2 linked regions of the Oryctolagus cuniculus genome follow. The protein of the gene in region 1 binds, or shares a complex with, the protein of each later gene. Links are inferred from orthologs where the notes say so. Each region holds a gene or a part of one and is shown on either strand. Other genes may lie near its edges.

What was found. The genes of interacting proteins can lie anywhere in the genome.
Region 2: CDHR5 (region 1) and ANKS4B share a complex: the UniProt entries of both Homo sapiens proteins name them as parts of the IMAC/intermicrovillar adhesion complex. The link is inferred for Oryctolagus cuniculus from reciprocal best matches to the Homo sapiens genes CDHR5 and ANKS4B.

What each region holds. Positions count from the first base shown.
Region 1 is NC_091432.1:251,153-254,900, forward strand, and holds the start of CDHR5 (cadherin-related family member 5), read right to left. Parts: upstream 2,439-3,748; 5' UTR 2,364-2,438; coding exon 2,258-2,363; intron 2,182-2,257; coding exon 2,006-2,181; intron 1,816-2,005; coding exon 1,765-1,815; intron 1,429-1,764; coding exon 1,336-1,428; intron 1,225-1,335; coding exon 1,123-1,224; intron 1,043-1,122; coding exon 932-1,042; intron 843-931; coding exon 672-842; intron 333-671; coding exon 242-332; intron 161-241; coding exon 63-160; intron 1-62. Other genes in the region: SCT (secretin), read right to left, coding at 3,242-3,343, 3,457-3,535, 3,633-3,748. UniProt on the Homo sapiens protein: Intermicrovillar adhesion molecule that forms, via its extracellular domain, calcium-dependent heterophilic complexes with CDHR2 on adjacent microvilli. Thereby, controls the packing of microvilli at the apical membrane of epithelial cells.
Region 2 is NC_091450.1:17,993,905-17,997,652, forward strand, and holds the start of ANKS4B (ankyrin repeat and SAM domain-containing protein 4B), read right to left. Parts: upstream 2,721-3,748; 5' UTR 1,493-2,720; coding exon 1,329-1,492; intron 1-1,328. UniProt on the Homo sapiens protein: As part of the intermicrovillar adhesion complex/IMAC plays a role in epithelial brush border differentiation, controlling microvilli organization and length. Plays a role in assembly of the complex.

The DNA of each region.
Region 1 (3,748 bases):
GTGCACGGGGTCAGGGTGCAGGAGGGCCGGGGGACCCCACCCCACACAATGCCGGCACCCACCTTCACCAGCAGGACGAAGGTCGTGGGGCTGGGGATGCTGCTGGCCATGGTGAGGTGGCCCGAGTTGGCGTCGATGGCGAACACGCCGCCCTGGTTTCCTGGGAGGGTGAGCAGGTGGTCAGCCTCACATCCTGGCTGGGCCCAGGTGGGGATGGGGCTGGGGACAGGGCCTCACTCACCCCCCAGCAGGCTGTAGATGATGGGCTGGCCAATGGCCGAGTCTCCGTCCTCAGCGTAGATGGGTCCAGGGCGTAGGGTGAGGGGACCTGGCTGTGGGGACGGCCAGGGGAGGGGACACTGTGGGACGGGTGTGGTGGCCAGCCGGGGCCGCGGCGGGGCCCAGTTGGCCAATGGCCACATGTCCCTGCCAGGCCCGAGTCTCAGGGACATCTGAATGCTGGGTCAGCAGGAATGTTCACAGGGAAGTTGGACTCCTGCCTCCCGTGCACTGCCCAGCCAGGGCCCACTGCCCCCTGGTGGCTGGGGAGGGAGTTGCTCGGCAGTGCCCAACAGGGCCCAGGGCCCAGTGCCCACGGCTGGATGTCACCAAAGCTGGGAGGACCCAAGCCCGCCCTGACCCCGCCCGGGCCGGCGGCAGCACCCCGTTACCAGCGTGTGCCCCGTGGGGACTGCCCCCTGGTACTGGGCCTGGATGCAGACGTGGCCATCTGAGTAGCTGCAGGGCAGGAACCAGGGTGGCCGCAGGTCAGCGGGCAGCACCTTCAGGATCAGGGTGGCCGTGGCCGTGTGGCTGGGCAGCTCGTTCTCCTGCTGGGTGTCCTGCAGTAGCCACTGGTCAGGCGGGCAGCAGCCTCACTGGGGCCCCAGTGTCCAGTGTCCAGCACCCGGGGCTGGTGGGGCCTGCTCACCCGCACCAGCAGCCGGAAGGTCATTTCTGACCACCTGTCGAAGTCCAGGGTCCGGTCCAGCCTTAGGGCAGGGTGGTTTGCGCCCGCCAGGGAGAAGAAGTGCCCAGCACCCTGAAGAGAGGGGGACGTGACCTGAGAGGCTGGGGGGTGGGCACAGGCTGGTGTCTGCCGGGGGCCGGGGCAGCACGGACCGGGGTCACTTCCTGGAGTGTGTAGAACAAGGTGTCGCTCTCGTCGAGGTCCTTGGCTTCCAGTTCTGTCTCGGGGATGACTGTGGAGTTCACTTTCGTATCCTGGGCATGGACAGGGGTGGGCTGGGGTGGGCCACACTGGAGACCCCAGGGGCAAGCCCCTGGCCCAGCCCCCAGCCCCCAGGGCCGGCCCCGAGGCGCCACCGGGCTAACCTCCTCCACACCCTTCTGCAGGGTGTCGAAGGGGAACGTGGGGAGGTTGTCGTTGACGTCCAGCACGGTCACGAACACTCGCAGCCTCGTCACCTGCAGGGCGTGGCCGGCGTCTCCCTGAGGGTCCCCGGGGTGCCCAGCCCGCTCCCCCCTTCCCTCACTCTTGGGGCCAGGGCGCTGTGAACCCCTGTGGGGTCCCGGCCCTGGGTGTGGCCGGCATCCCAGCCGCCACCGAGGAGGGGGCTGAGGTGGGCCGGGGTAAAGGGAGCAAGCAGGCCAGTCGGAAGTTCCAGACATATTGGTGGCTGAGGCCAGGGTATGGGTGCCGGGGCGCCGGGCCGCGGGTCTCGGGTGTGGCCGGGGAAGCGTGCCCTGGGTGAGCTCATCCCTGCACTCTAGCGTGGGAGGGGCTGGGAGGGGCGGACTCACCACCGTGGTCCCTCTCCTGCACTCCAGGTCGGCCTCCAGGAAGGTCACGGCCTGCGGAGGCAGGGGGACGTGGGGAGGCGCCTGCCCAGTGCCCAGCACACGGTCCCCGCTGCACAGGCCGGCCGCCCAGGCAGGAGGATGGCTGCCGGCCACAGCCCCCAAGCCCGGGGCCGACGCCAGATCAGCCACTGCCTGGCAGAACTGTGCCCGGGAGGGGATGGGGGGGGAGGGCCGCTCCCACCTCGTAGTCTGGACTCGCGCTGAGAAACAGCTGAGTCCCCTGGATCCGGAATGAGGCGGCGGTGGTCGAGGGGCCGAGGGCCACCTGCAGGCCATCGGGGACGTAGATGTCAACCAGGGGCTTCGCCACGTCCGAGTTCTCCTTCACCTCGAAGAGGGTCTGGTTGATGGAGCAGACTGCAGCGGACAGCACGGGTCAGCACCCAGCCCCGCCCCCACCCCGCCCCCGCCCCCGCCCCTGCCCGGCACCTGCCCTGTGTCTGCGCCTCAGCCCCCCAGGGCTGGCCCGGCAGCCCCAGGAGCAGCAGCAGCAGGGGAGGCCACCGCAGGGGCCAGGTCCCCGTCCTGGTGGCTGTCATCCGGCCGGCTGGCGTCTGGCGTCTGTCCGTCCCCCTGCCGTCCTGGACTGCTGCAGTTCCTGCCTCGCACGACCTTTGCCCCTGGCAGGCACCGCCCTGCTTTATGGCTTCACGGCTGGCCTCTGCCAGGGGGGATCCCGCCGGCCGGCTGGGCACGGGCTGGCCGCAGCCAGGAGGGGGACGCCAGGTGGTCACTTGCCCCCCCACTCCACCCCAGGGTCACCTGGGGCTCAACCCACAGACGCCAAAGCACGAGGTGTGAGCTGCTGGGGCTACGGCCTGGGGCACCGTGATGGGGGCTGCAAGGCCCACGGCAAGGCGGGGGTCCAGGGTTCCCTTCCAGGCCCACCTCCCCTCCCTCGCCGTCTAAATCCCACAGGAACCGACTGTGTCCCAGGCACCCCTGCAGGGCTCTGAGGGTCCTGATCTCTTCCTGGGACCCCCACACCTCCAGCGGCCAGGGAGAGGCCAGGAAGGAGGGAGGAGCTCAGGGACGGGGTCCATCCCTGGCCTGCGGTGGGACCCCGCCCAGCATGGACGCCATGGCCAGCCCGGCAGTCACGGGGTGCTGCTCCCGGAATCCTGGGCCACCACCCCGTCTCCCCCCACCCCTCTTCTCCCCCACATCCCTACTGCAAGGCCCGGGGAGGGGCACACCCTGGGGAGTTCAGAGGATGGACAGCAGGTGGCCCAGTGGCTCCCAGGGATAAAGGGCAGCTGGGCGTGGTCCGAGCTCTGGGGCCCTGCTCCCACACGGCAGCCACGGATCAGGGGTCCCAGTTCCTCCTTTATTAGTGCGAGGACAACCCCCCCCCGCCTGCCCCCTGCAGGACCCCCTCCTTCTCCGTGGTCAACATCAGGGCATCCAAGGCGCTGCTTCAGTCTCGGTGCTGGCCAGCTCCAAAACCAAGACCCCAGCCCCGGGCCCAGGAGGCAGCAGGGTTGACCAGGCGGGGCCCAGGGGTGGCCCGAGGAGCCTCCTGCGGAGACAGGCACCTTGGGGGCTGCGGCCTGGGAGCTGGAGACTCCCCGTAACCCCACCCCCACACACAGGGTCCCAGGGGACAGGAGCTGGCAGGAGCAGGGCGCTCACCAGGCCTGCAGGTGGGCAGTGGGACCACTTCGGGCAGGGCCTGGACCAGGAGGCTGGGCCGGGCTTGGAGTCCTGCTGGCTGCACAGACACACACAACCAGTCAGAGCGCAGGTGGCCGGCCGTCCCAGGCCGGGTCTCCCCCGCGCCGGTCGCGCCCTCACCTGCCCACGCTCACCTGCGCTTGCCCAGGAGGCCCTGCAGCAGGCGCTGTAGGCGCGCGCGGTCCCGCAAGCGGCTGAGCTCGCTAGTCAGGGTCCCGTCCGAGTGGCGCGGGGCCCGGGGCGGGGGACG
Region 2 (3,748 bases), on another chromosome or scaffold:
CAGCAACATCCAACTTCTTCAGATCCTGGAATCTACAGTGTAATCCACAGTGCTCAGTGGTGGGGGAAACTTCTCTTCCATCTTCAGCGCTTCGAATCCCAGCTGAATTGCTCGCCCCTTAGGAAAGCTTTTCCTACACCCTGAGTAGGATGAATGCCTGAGTTATTTCATGCCTTCTCATTTCCATTTCTATAAGACCTGTCATGTCTTCTACTCTCAGATGTGATCACCATCACAGAAATTGTATCTCTCTTACTGATGACAGCATGCCCAGTGGCTAGCAAAATGACTGGCATGTAACAGATACAAAATGAATAGGTATTGAATTTAGTTGGCTTCTTCATTTACATTTTATTTTTCCCCTTTCTTTACTCATCTTGGGTTGTAGTTGCTAATACTGCCTAGCTCCTCTGGTCACAGGCAGAAAAAGCAGAGAAAAGGAGCTAGCAAAACTGCTGTTTTAAAGTTCGGAGTGGGGGTAGTGTGTGTGTGCTGTGGCTGACAGAGCCAGCAACTCTCTTCAGCAATCATGAGCTTGCACTGGGATTGAATATTAACAAAAAGCTGTGGGATTTTAAAGGCATTTATGAAAATTTATAATAAAAATATGCCTTTTATTCCAATCAAGGTTGACAACTCAAAACCAAGTAGAACCATGATCTCTATTTAAATTTCATGGAAAAGACTTGAGAGGCATGGAATTAATTTATCTTCCCTGCACCCAAGGCAGGTAACAACACCTTAGAGTTTAGTGTCTCTCCTATACTTGTGCTAAGGAATGAGCCACTCTCATGGCACCAGTTCTCACTGTAAAACTAGTGCCTCCCTGGGCAGATTTTTCTGCCTTTCTCTAAAAATTCAATTATTTAGAAAGTCTAGAAAGAGAACAAAGTGTTTGCACTGACTTCTTTGTCTCCTGCTGCCGACTACAAAATCCTGCTATCAGGCTGGCGCCAGGGCTCACTAGGCTAATCCTCCGCCTGCAGCGCCAGTACCCCAGGTTCTAGTCCCAGTTGGGGCGCCAATTCTGTCCCGGTTGCTCCTCTTCCAGTCCAGCTCTCTGCTGTGGCCTGAGAGTGCAGTGGAGGTGGCCCAAGTGCTTGTGCTTGGTCCCTGCATCCTCATGGGAGACCAGGAGGAAGTACCTGGCTCCTGGCTTTGGATCAGCGTAGCACACCGGCTGTAGCGGCCATTTCGGGGGTGAACCAACAGAAGGAAGACCTTTCTCTCTGTCTCTCTCTCTCTCTCATTGTCTAACTCTGCCAGTCAAAAAAAAAAAATCCTGTTATCAGCACTGTTTCCCACAGAAGACATTATGTTGAACTTACCCTCTGCTGCAGATAATTTCCAGGGCTTCCAAGTTCCCATGGTAGGCTGCCAGGAGAGTGGGAGTCATGCCATCTTCATCAGAGAGATTCAGATCTCGCTTGGTAGCCTCTTTCAGAAGTTCCAGGTAGCTATCACTGGCAGCTTGGTGGTAACGAGTGGACATTTTCCCTCCTCACCAAAGGTTGGCCAGATGTCTCTCCCCAGGCACAGTAAATGTTGGCAGGATAGCCTGCCTGTACTGCTGGTTAATCAGTGACAAGAATGAGTATCACAGGGCAAAGCTCATTCCAGCATCAATCCATGGAAGGGAGCCAGAAAGGCTCATGACACTGAACTTGGACCTTTCTTTCTGGAATGGCCATGACATTGAATATTATAGCCTGCTGTGTTCATCTTGAGTGTTTTGAGGCACATTTAATTTTTGCTATGTCCATTTGCAAGTATTGAATGTGATACTGCACATGTAGGCACCAAACGAAGAAAATAATTTCAAAAATATTCAGAACTAGTTTAGTTCAACTGGGGAAATCTTTTTTAAAAAAATTATTTCCACTTAATTTGAAGGCAGAGTGAGAGGGACAAACAGTAAGCAATCTTCTCTTTACTGGTTTACTCCCTACGTGCCCACAACAGCCAAGGCTGGGCCAGGGCAAAGTCAGGACCCAGAACTCAATCTGGGTCTCCCATATGGGAGGCAGGGGCCCAAGTACTTGAGGCAATACCTGCTGCTTGCTAGAGTGCAAATTAGCAGGAAACTGGATGGGAAGTAGAGGAGCTGGACCTTGAACCAGGCAGCATCATAACTGTGGCACCAAATGCCCGCCTTGTATTGCTGGCATTGTGCTATGGCAGGCTATGGTGGCACCCCATATCAGAGTACCTGTTCAAGTCCTAGCTACTGTGCTTCTGATCCAGCTCCCTGCTAATGCACCTATGAAAGATGTGGAAGATGGCCCAAGTGCTTTGCCCTCACTAGCCATGTGGAAGACACAGCTAGAGTTCCAGGCTCGGTCCTTGTCCTTGTGGTCATTTAGGAAGTGAATCAGTGGTTGGTTAGAAGTTTCACTTTTGGCTGGCACCATGGCTCAATAGGCTAATCCTCTGCCTGCGGCGCCGGGCACACCAGGTACTAGTTCCAGTCAGGGCGCCGGATTCTGTCCCGGTTGCCCCTCTTCAAGTCCAGCTCTCTGCTATGGCCCAGGAGTGCAGTGGAGGATGGCCCAAGTCCTTGGGCCCTGCACCCGCATGGGACACCAGGAGAAGCACCTGGCTCCTGGTTTTGGATCAGTGTGGTGCACCAGCCGCAGCACGCCAGCTGCAGCGGCCATTGGAGGGTGAACCAATGGTAAAGGAAGACCTTTCTCTCTGTCTCTCTCTCTCTCACTGTCCACTCTGCCTGTCAAAAAAAAAAAAAAAAAAAAAAGAAGTTTCACTTTCACTTTCTCTCTCCCCCGCCCCGCCCCATAAGGAACACAAAATTAAACAACTTTACCATAATATTAACAAAAATTAACAGGAGACTATGATACTCCTGTCATATATACCTAATAGCAGCCCTCAGATAGGAAAAAAATTAGAATTTACAAAAAGTAAAAAACTCATAATCATAGTGGAATATTTTAATATACTCTCTTAATATTATATCAGACTAAAAATTAGTAAAGATTTAAAGATTGGAGCACAAGTAACAAACTTGAATGATCATATATAGACAGTTCCACCCAATAGAAAATGCATGTTCTTTTCAACCACATAAAGAATATGAGTATTTATAAAAACTGACCACCAAATAGAATCAGCGCAGGTCCAACAGATATCAAATAAAAGAGTTCATGAAGACAATGTTCTCTGAAGACGGTGCAATAGAATCAGAAAGCATCCCCTTCCATGACTGGATCAACCATACACGAACACATATATTCCTTATTGTGTAATTTTTACTTTATTTCTTTTTAAAAATTATTTATTAACTGTGAGACAGTGAAAGAGAAAGCTCATCTGCTGATTCATTGCCCAAAGGCCTGCAGTGGCTGGGGTTTGGGCTGGGGCACAAGCCAAGAGGCAGGAGCTCCATCCAGGTCCCATACACAGGTACCAGGAACCCAACTACCTGAGCCATCACTGCTACCTCCCAAGAACTTCACTGGCAGGAAGCTGGGGTCAGGAGCCGGAGCCAGAAACAGAACCCAGCAACTCTGATGTGGGATATGGGCATCTTAACCTCCAAGCAACCAACCATTTTGCATTATCTTTCTGTCTGCTTGATCCACCATAAATGTTTTCCCATATTATTACAAAATTGATGTGTGAAGATCTGTTTTTGAAGTCTGTAACAGTTTATTCCTCATATCTTTTTTTTTGTCCAACTTAATTATTGCCAAGTCTTTATTTCAAAATGAATTATTTGTCCATTCTGAAA